Canis lupus familiaris: one gene and its partner. The protein of the gene in region 1 binds, or shares a complex with, the protein of each later gene. Links are inferred from orthologs where the notes say so. Each region holds a gene or a part of one and is shown in the gene's direction. Other genes may lie near its edges.

The links. The genes of interacting proteins can lie anywhere in the genome.
Region 2: ACTL6B (region 1) and DPF3 share a complex: the UniProt entries of both Homo sapiens proteins name them as parts of the BAF complex. The link is inferred for Canis lupus familiaris from reciprocal best matches to the Homo sapiens genes ACTL6B and DPF3.

Annotation. Positions count from the first base shown.
Region 1 is NC_049227.1:8,998,132-9,001,778, forward strand, and holds part of ACTL6B (actin-like protein 6B), read left to right. Parts: intron 1-1,532; coding exon 1,533-1,630; intron 1,631-2,291; coding exon 2,292-2,386; intron 2,387-2,454; coding exon 2,455-2,561; intron 2,562-3,231; coding exon 3,232-3,321; intron 3,322-3,480; coding exon 3,481-3,542; intron 3,543-3,647. UniProt on the Homo sapiens protein: Involved in transcriptional activation and repression of select genes by chromatin remodeling (alteration of DNA-nucleosome topology).
Region 2 is NC_049229.1:46,575,563-46,579,309, reverse strand, and holds the start of DPF3 (zinc finger protein DPF3), read left to right. Parts: upstream 1-1,194; 5' UTR 1,195-1,227; coding exon 1,228-1,259; intron 1,260-3,747. UniProt on the Homo sapiens protein: Belongs to the neuron-specific chromatin remodeling complex (nBAF complex).

The DNA of each region.
Region 1 (3,647 bases):
TCTATGCCATGAAACACATTCATAATGTTGTGTAGCCCTCATCTTTTTCTACCTCCCAACATTTTCATCAGCCCAAAAGAAAATATGTTTTCATTAACCAGTTTCTCCCTACTCTCCTTGCCCTTGGCAACCAACCATCAATTTGTTTTCTGTCTCAATCAATGTATCTATTCTGGATCTTTCTTATAAATGGTATCATACAACATGTGACCTCTCATGTCTGTATTCTTTCACTTAGCATAATAGTTTCAAGGTTCATCCATGCGGTAGCATATATCAGTATTTTATTCTGTTTCATGGTGAGTAACATTCCATTGCATGGATATACCACACCACAATTTGTTTTTCCAATTAATCCATTCATGGACTTCTGGGTTGTTTCCATCTGTGGCTATTGTGGATAGTGCTGCTATGAACAGTTGTGTATATGGATTTATTTCAGTACCTGTTTTCAGTTCTTTTGGATACATAAGTAGGAGTGGAATTGCTGGGTCATATGGTAATTCTATGTTTAACTTTTTGAGGAACTGCTGATTGTTTTCCACAGTGGCTGAACCATTTCACCTTCCCAATGGCAATGTACAAGTGTTTCAGTTTCTCTATATCCATTTTTTTCTTAATTATTATTAATACTCTAGTGGGTATGAAGTGGTATCTCGTGATTTCAAATTGCATATCCCTCATGGTGGCCAACAATGTTAAGCATCTTCTCGTGGGTGGTTGGCTTTTGTGGCTTTAGGTCTTTTGGTTTTTTTTTTAGAGATTTATTTATTTATTTATTTTAGAGAGACAGAGCATGAGCAGGAGGAGGAAAAGGGGAAGGGAGAGAGAATCTCAAGCAGACTCTGAGCTGAGTGCAGAGCCTGATGAGGGGCTCGATCTCACAACCATGATATCACAACATGAGCCGAAACCAAGAGTCAGGCACTTAACCAACTGCACCACCCTGGTGCCCCCCTTTTTAGAGTAACCTCTATGCCCAAAATGGGGCTCAAACTCACAACTCCAAGATTAGGAGTTTCATGCTGTACTGACTGAGCCAGCCAGGTGCCATGGATTTATGTCTTTTTTAAATTGCCCCTTTATTATACTTTTCCTGGGATCTTGGAAGGGGATAAAACTGGATGTTTGTATTCAATCCACAATTTCTACTAGAAACCCTCTTCCCAGCTTTCATGCCTTTGAGATGACTTAAATGGGGAAGAGGGATAAACCGGAGGCTGATAGAATTATACAGTAAAGAACAGTGGGCCAGAAGTCAAGAGACTATAACTCTACCAAGCTCTACCAAGGGCTTTGTGTGTGAACTTGGTCAAGTCACTCTCCCTCTCTGAGTTTGGTTTACTTCAGGGTTTGGATTATAATCTTTAAAATTCTTTGTACTTCTCACATTCTAGAGTTATATGTGGATCTAGAGACCTGACCTCTGTCCCCAGTCCAAGTCTTCTGTGTATGTGTGTGTGTGTGTGTGTGTGTGTGTGTGTCTGGGCCTCTCCTTTTTTGAATCCTCCCCTCCTGCACTTTCTCCCCAGTGGAACACACGGGCCAAGCGGGAGAAGCTGACAGAGCTGATGTTCGAGCAATACAACATTCCTGCCTTCTTCTTATGCAAGACAGCTGTACTTACTGCGTATCCTCTGGCTTGAGCTGCTCTGGCTGGGTGGAGGGCCAGGGTGGGGTTTATGTGGTGTGTCAAGCTGGAGGCTGGACCTGATTCTGTGGAGATTAGTGTCCTGGATGGGCAGACACCCACCCTGTGCTCCATTAGTGCAGAGGGGCCCCTGTACACTAAATGCCTTTGACCCTGGGGTGGCCAGATCAGCAGTTCTTTCCTATTCCTTGGATAAGACTGAACAGAGAGAGAGACAAAGAGGGAGGAAAGGAGGGAGAGTTGGACCATAGACAGCAGGGGCTGCAACTGAAGAGAACAAGGAAGAATATATAACAATCAGCATTCATTTTTTTAAGGATCTACCTTATGTTGACCCCTGTGCTAGGCACTGGGGCAATATGGCCCCTCATTTCAAGGAGCCCACAGAACACTGAACCAAGATTAAAGAGAAACTGGGAGCTCAGAAGAAAGAAAAAGAGGGAAAAGTTGTGATTCAGACAGGGAAGAAGTGACAGGAGTCTCAGGAACCTTTGTCCTGTGATGGGTCATAAACCAGAATGAGAGATTTGCAGAGTGTGAATGGACTGGACCAGGAGATCAGAGAGTGACCAGGGCAGACCTGAGTCCCAGTCCCTTCACTTGCTGCTGCTGTCTCTTTGACCTACCCGTCCCACACCAGCTTTGCAAACGGACGTTCCACGGGCCTAGTGCTGGACAGTGGGGCCACCCATACCACCGCCATCCCAGTACATGATGGCTACGTCCTACAGCAAGGTGGGGCCTCAACAGGGGTCGGGGACTCCTTGGGGAGGACCTGGCCCTGACACCCCCTCCCTTTCCAGGCATTGTCAAGTCGCCCCTAGCAGGGGACTTCATCTCCATGCAGTGCCGGGAGCTCTTCCAGGAAATGGCCATTGACATCATTCCACCTTACATGATTGCTGCCAAGGTGGTGTCTTTGGGGAGCCTGGGGCACTTACCCTATGACAGTTGACCCACTGACCCACTAGATATCAGAGAGAGGAGTGTCAGAGCCCCCAGAGGACCCTGAGTCCAGTTCCTTAAGTTATAATCAAAGCATCAGAGATTGGACAGGCTGAAGGACATGGCCAAGGTCATACAGCTAGCTGGTAACAGGAGGTATGAGGGCCAGTGCGGCAGACCCAGGTTCAAGGTCTGCCTCTGCCATGTAAGAGCTGTGTGACCTAGAGCAGATCAAAGCTTTCCGAACCTCAGTTCCTTCCCCTGTGAAGTGGAATTACAGCATATACGGCAGCTGTGAGTGTTGAGACACTGAAAGGGTCCGCCCTGGACTCCCACATGGAATGTGGCTCAGGAAAGGCTACTTCTTTAAGGTTCTCGTCTCCCACTGTATCCCCCATGCCCTCAGCTTTCTCCAGCCTAGGCCTTTCAGATCAGCTGTACCTGTTGCATGAGTGGCAAACATGGGGACAGGCTCTCCCCATTCTCTCTCCTTTGAGAGAGAAGGAGGAGGAACACCTTTTGTGGGCAGCAGAGCAAAGAACTCAGTGCCTGTTAGCTGCAGGAGCATGGGTGTGGTCAGGGTGGGCTGGGCAGGAGTGGAGTGGGAAGGATGCTCATAGGCTTTGTGCCCCCAGGAACCTGTACGGGAGGGCGCCCCTCCAAACTGGAAGAAGAAGGAGAAGCTCCCCCAGGTTTCCAAGTCCTGGCATAACTACATGTGCAATGTGAGGAGACGGTCCCCTGAAACAACCCCTATCCCTCCCAGCTCCTGCTCCCCTGCCATGAGTAGAGGGGAAGGGACAGAGAGGCCCTGCAGGGGTGGCTTGGGGGTGCTGAGGAGGGACACCAGGCCCTCACTGCTCACCGTGTCCCTGGGTCCCCAGGAGGTGATCCAGGACTTCCAGGCCTCTGTGCTACAGGTCTCAGACTCTCCCTATGATGAGCAGTAAGTGAGCCCATGGCTGAGGGATGGGACAGGGGGCAGGCCTGGGATTCAGAGGGTACCTCTGGTCCCCTGTGAGCACCCCCAGGCAGAGTCTCTTTTTCCTGG
Region 2 (3,747 bases), on another chromosome or scaffold:
AGATTTCTGTATGCTAACGAGGCCCCTATTCATGATTTAGTGCGATTTCATCCACCGGGAGATTCCCCGCTGCCCCGTGGAAGCCTGGCTTCACCGAAGTCTCCCAATTTCGTCGGGGGTTCGCCAGTGAGGAGTTCACGCTGACTTGGAGCAGACACAGACTCTGAACGCCTCGGGTCCTACCGGATTATTCAGTGGCAAATTTTTCCACCGTGTACCTAAGTAGTGAAAGGTGACGCCAGAATCGCGTGTGCTACTCCCCGAAAGAGACTCTGGCAACACCTTCTGTCTAGTTACTCTCTTTCCTAGTAGCAGAAAGCGTTTCCAAAAAGTTTCCTTAAACCTCCTCTGTCCCCAAGCCTAAAGGTCAGAGCGCCAGGTCCCACTTGGCTCCCCGGCCGGCCGGAATCTGACCATTTCAGAAGTTTCTGGTGTGTGTGTAGATTGGAAGAGGTCGGAGTGGGGAACCGCGCACAGCGACCACCGCGCATTACGTAACGAAAGCCCTGGCTGCCGGAGGGAGCGAGCCTGACATTGAGACATTCCAGGGGGAGGGGAGTTGCTGTCCTGGAGTCGCCGGGAACGGCGGCAGCAGTTCCAAGAAACCGAGAGAGAGAGAGAGAGAGAGAGAGAGAGAGAGAGAGAGAGAGAGAAGGTGGCCGAGATAAAGAAAACACTACAGGAATGAGAATGTTAAAAAGCCTTGGACCTAGAGCATTAGCAAACTGCTGGGCACGTGTAGTAATTTGTTAGACGAAACGGCAGCCTTCCAACTTTTGCACGGGAACGAGGGGATTTGCCCTTTGGGGGATTAAAAACGTAACAGCAAAGCCAAAAGCTAATGAATGGGGTTCAGTGGTTTGTTGGCAATACTTAAATATTTCTGTCCAGGAGCGCAAACTCTCTGCAATTATTTAGAAAGTAGGGACTCAAACCAAACTAGAATACTTTCCCCGTGCGTCTCCACTTTCCCAAATCCGAAAAGGAGCTGCTCTCGCGGTACTGCCCCTTTAAGACCTGCTTGCTCTCGGGCTCTACAAAAGGGAGTGACCTCTGGGCTTTGACAGCTCCCCTAATAACTACCACCGTGCAGGCCCCGCCCATCTGGCGACCAGCAGCGCCCATTGGCCAGCGGGCCGGTATCCCGTGCTCTGATTGGCTCGCCGCTTCCCCTGAGCGAACCTTTAGAACTCTGAGACAGACAATATTCTGTTACATTGTAGCAAAATGGCGACTGTCATTCACAACCCCCTGAAAGCGTAAGTAAGACTAAAAAATGTACATATTCCGCCTGGTTTCAATATGAAAAAAAAGGCGCCTTCCGCGTGCCAAGCGCTGCCAATGCACTGCGCTTGCAGGCGCCTGCAGCCGCGGCGGGGCTTCTCTTTTCTTTCAGCTCTTACTTCTTCATCTTCTTTTTTTTTTTACCCCCAACGCGCAGAAATGTCAAGAGATGCAATTAACAAGAAGAAAATTGTTACGTTTGTGTTCTGCTTAATTGGAAGACGCACGGAGAGGGGTTTTCGGCAGGGGAGCCAGGCGCTCGAGCGCTCTACGGGGGGGGGGGGGGGGGGGAGGCGGGCGGTCGTGGGCAGCTCGGGGACTGCACGGTCCCCCGAGTGCCCGGCGTCGCGGGATGGCGAGCGCGGCGCGGGGGGCGGCCGAGCTGGGGGCGAGCGCCGGGCAGGGGCCGCCTGGGTGCACTTGGCTGCGCCCCGCGCCTCCGGAGTCCGCAGCCCCTGCCCGGCTGCTGGGTCCGCCGGGGCGAGCGGACCGTGGCAGCTCCGGAGTTTGCAGGGCGCTTTACGCCTTCCGATCGCTCGCGGGGAGTTTGTGCAAACCTTCCGGAGTTGGGAGGACCGCAGGGGGAGCAGTGGGTCCCGGGAGCCCTGGGGCCCAGGTGATTGCCCGGGGGCTTTCCTGCCGGGGCAGCCCCCCGAGCGTGACCGCGCTCCGGGCGGTCGCCGGTGTGTCTGCGTGTGTTCGCGGGCGAACTGGGTGTAGTGTATTAACGACTCGGGTTAACTTGGGGTTGATTGGGAGGCAGGGAGGCTGCAGGTCTTATGAATGGTGTTCTTGCCTCCTCTGGGTGAAAAACCGAGGCGGGCGGAGAGGCAGCTTCTGCTCCCGGCCAGAGCGAGGGGCAGGTGCCTCTGGCCGCCGCCGGGAGACTTTGAGCGGACGCCCAGATCCCGGACGCAGGGGGGCGGGCTGGGCGAGGACATGCGGGGACCAGTCCCCGGGTCCGACTGCCAATTCCTGCCTGCCTGCCTTCCTGCTCCTTTTCGTCCTGGCTTCCTTCCTTCCTTCCTTCCAGTCGATGGAAATGTTAAGCCGCCAAGTCCGATCGCGATCGCGGAGCCGCTGGAGGCTTCGGAAAACTAGCGTCGCCCTACAAGGGGTGCTATTGGCAATGATATTGGCAGAGGAGAGCTCGCTCCCCCATCGCCGCGCGACGTGGGTCGGGACTCCCGGTCGCCGCGCGGCGTGGCTCGGGGTCCGCGCCTCTGGGACCAGGACTTCCCAGCCGGGGTGGGAGCCGCGGGCGAGGGGAGGGGGAGATGCAGGTGGGGGGCGTTTCGTGCAAAATTCTCCTGGCTGTGTGGCCGATGCCCGTGCGGGTTATTTCAACTCAGCGCACCGCGCTGGCACCCCAGGCTCCTCCTGGAGTTGAAAACCACGTTCGCACCGGGGGAGGGAGGGAGGCTGCGGGGGGTGTGGGGGTGTTTCCTAGCGCAAAGGAACGCGCGAGGGTAATCGGACGTGTTTGCACCAGCTTATCTCCCATCATTAATAGGGGAAAAGGTAGTAAGGTCCCCGGTTCGGAGTTTTTTTTTTTTTTTTTAATATACATGTATTAAAGCTGCGATTAAAGCTGCGATTAAGAGGAAGCTGGAAGCTGACGCCGATCACAGAACAGCCCCCGGCTTTAGTTCTCGCTCGCAAGCTCGGATACACTGCACTGGAACGCCACAACGTTTCAGCCAAGAAAGAAAATGTTTTACAGCAGAATAAATGGGCGTAACTTCGCCGCATCCTCGCTCCCCGGTCGCTCGCGCAGCCACACCGCTGATGCTGTGAGTTTCAGCCGAACCTCCAGCTGATTTGCAGTTTCCCCATTTCCAGCCGAAATCACATAGGCAGGCTGATGCCACCTGGTAAACTCAAGTTAGAGAAATCTATTTCACATGTGCGCCAGATTTGTTTCCTACTGGGAAAGCGGTACCAGCGTTACCTTGGAGCCCGCTCACGCGCCGGCAGGCGCAATATCTCTAAACGCTCCAGGGTTTGTTTCCCTGCCGGCTCCGGTTTTTTGTTTGTTTGTTTGTTTTTGAACTGCGGAAGGGTGCGTGTTTGGCGAGGGTGTCTGAGTGGGGTGGGGTTAGAGGTGGAGGAGGGAACAGAGAAGGGGGCTGGTTTAGTGGAATTAGTCCTGAATTATTAAACTTATACTTTGTAATAATTAGAGACAGTTGCAATGACATGTTTTGTAATTCTGTGTCGACACACACACACACACACACACACACACACACACACATACACACGCGCGCGCGCGCACGCGCTAGCATACACACAACATCCCTGCCTGCCTTTTCTAGACGGGAGTTGAGTGGTCATTTTTTAATTAGCTCCTCCTTTTTGCATCCCAAACCCTTTCCCTGGAGGAAAGGGGGTGTAAACAATACCCACCCCCTCTCCCGGACGAGCCGAACCTCCTGCGCTCCGGACGGCTTTTAAACTCCT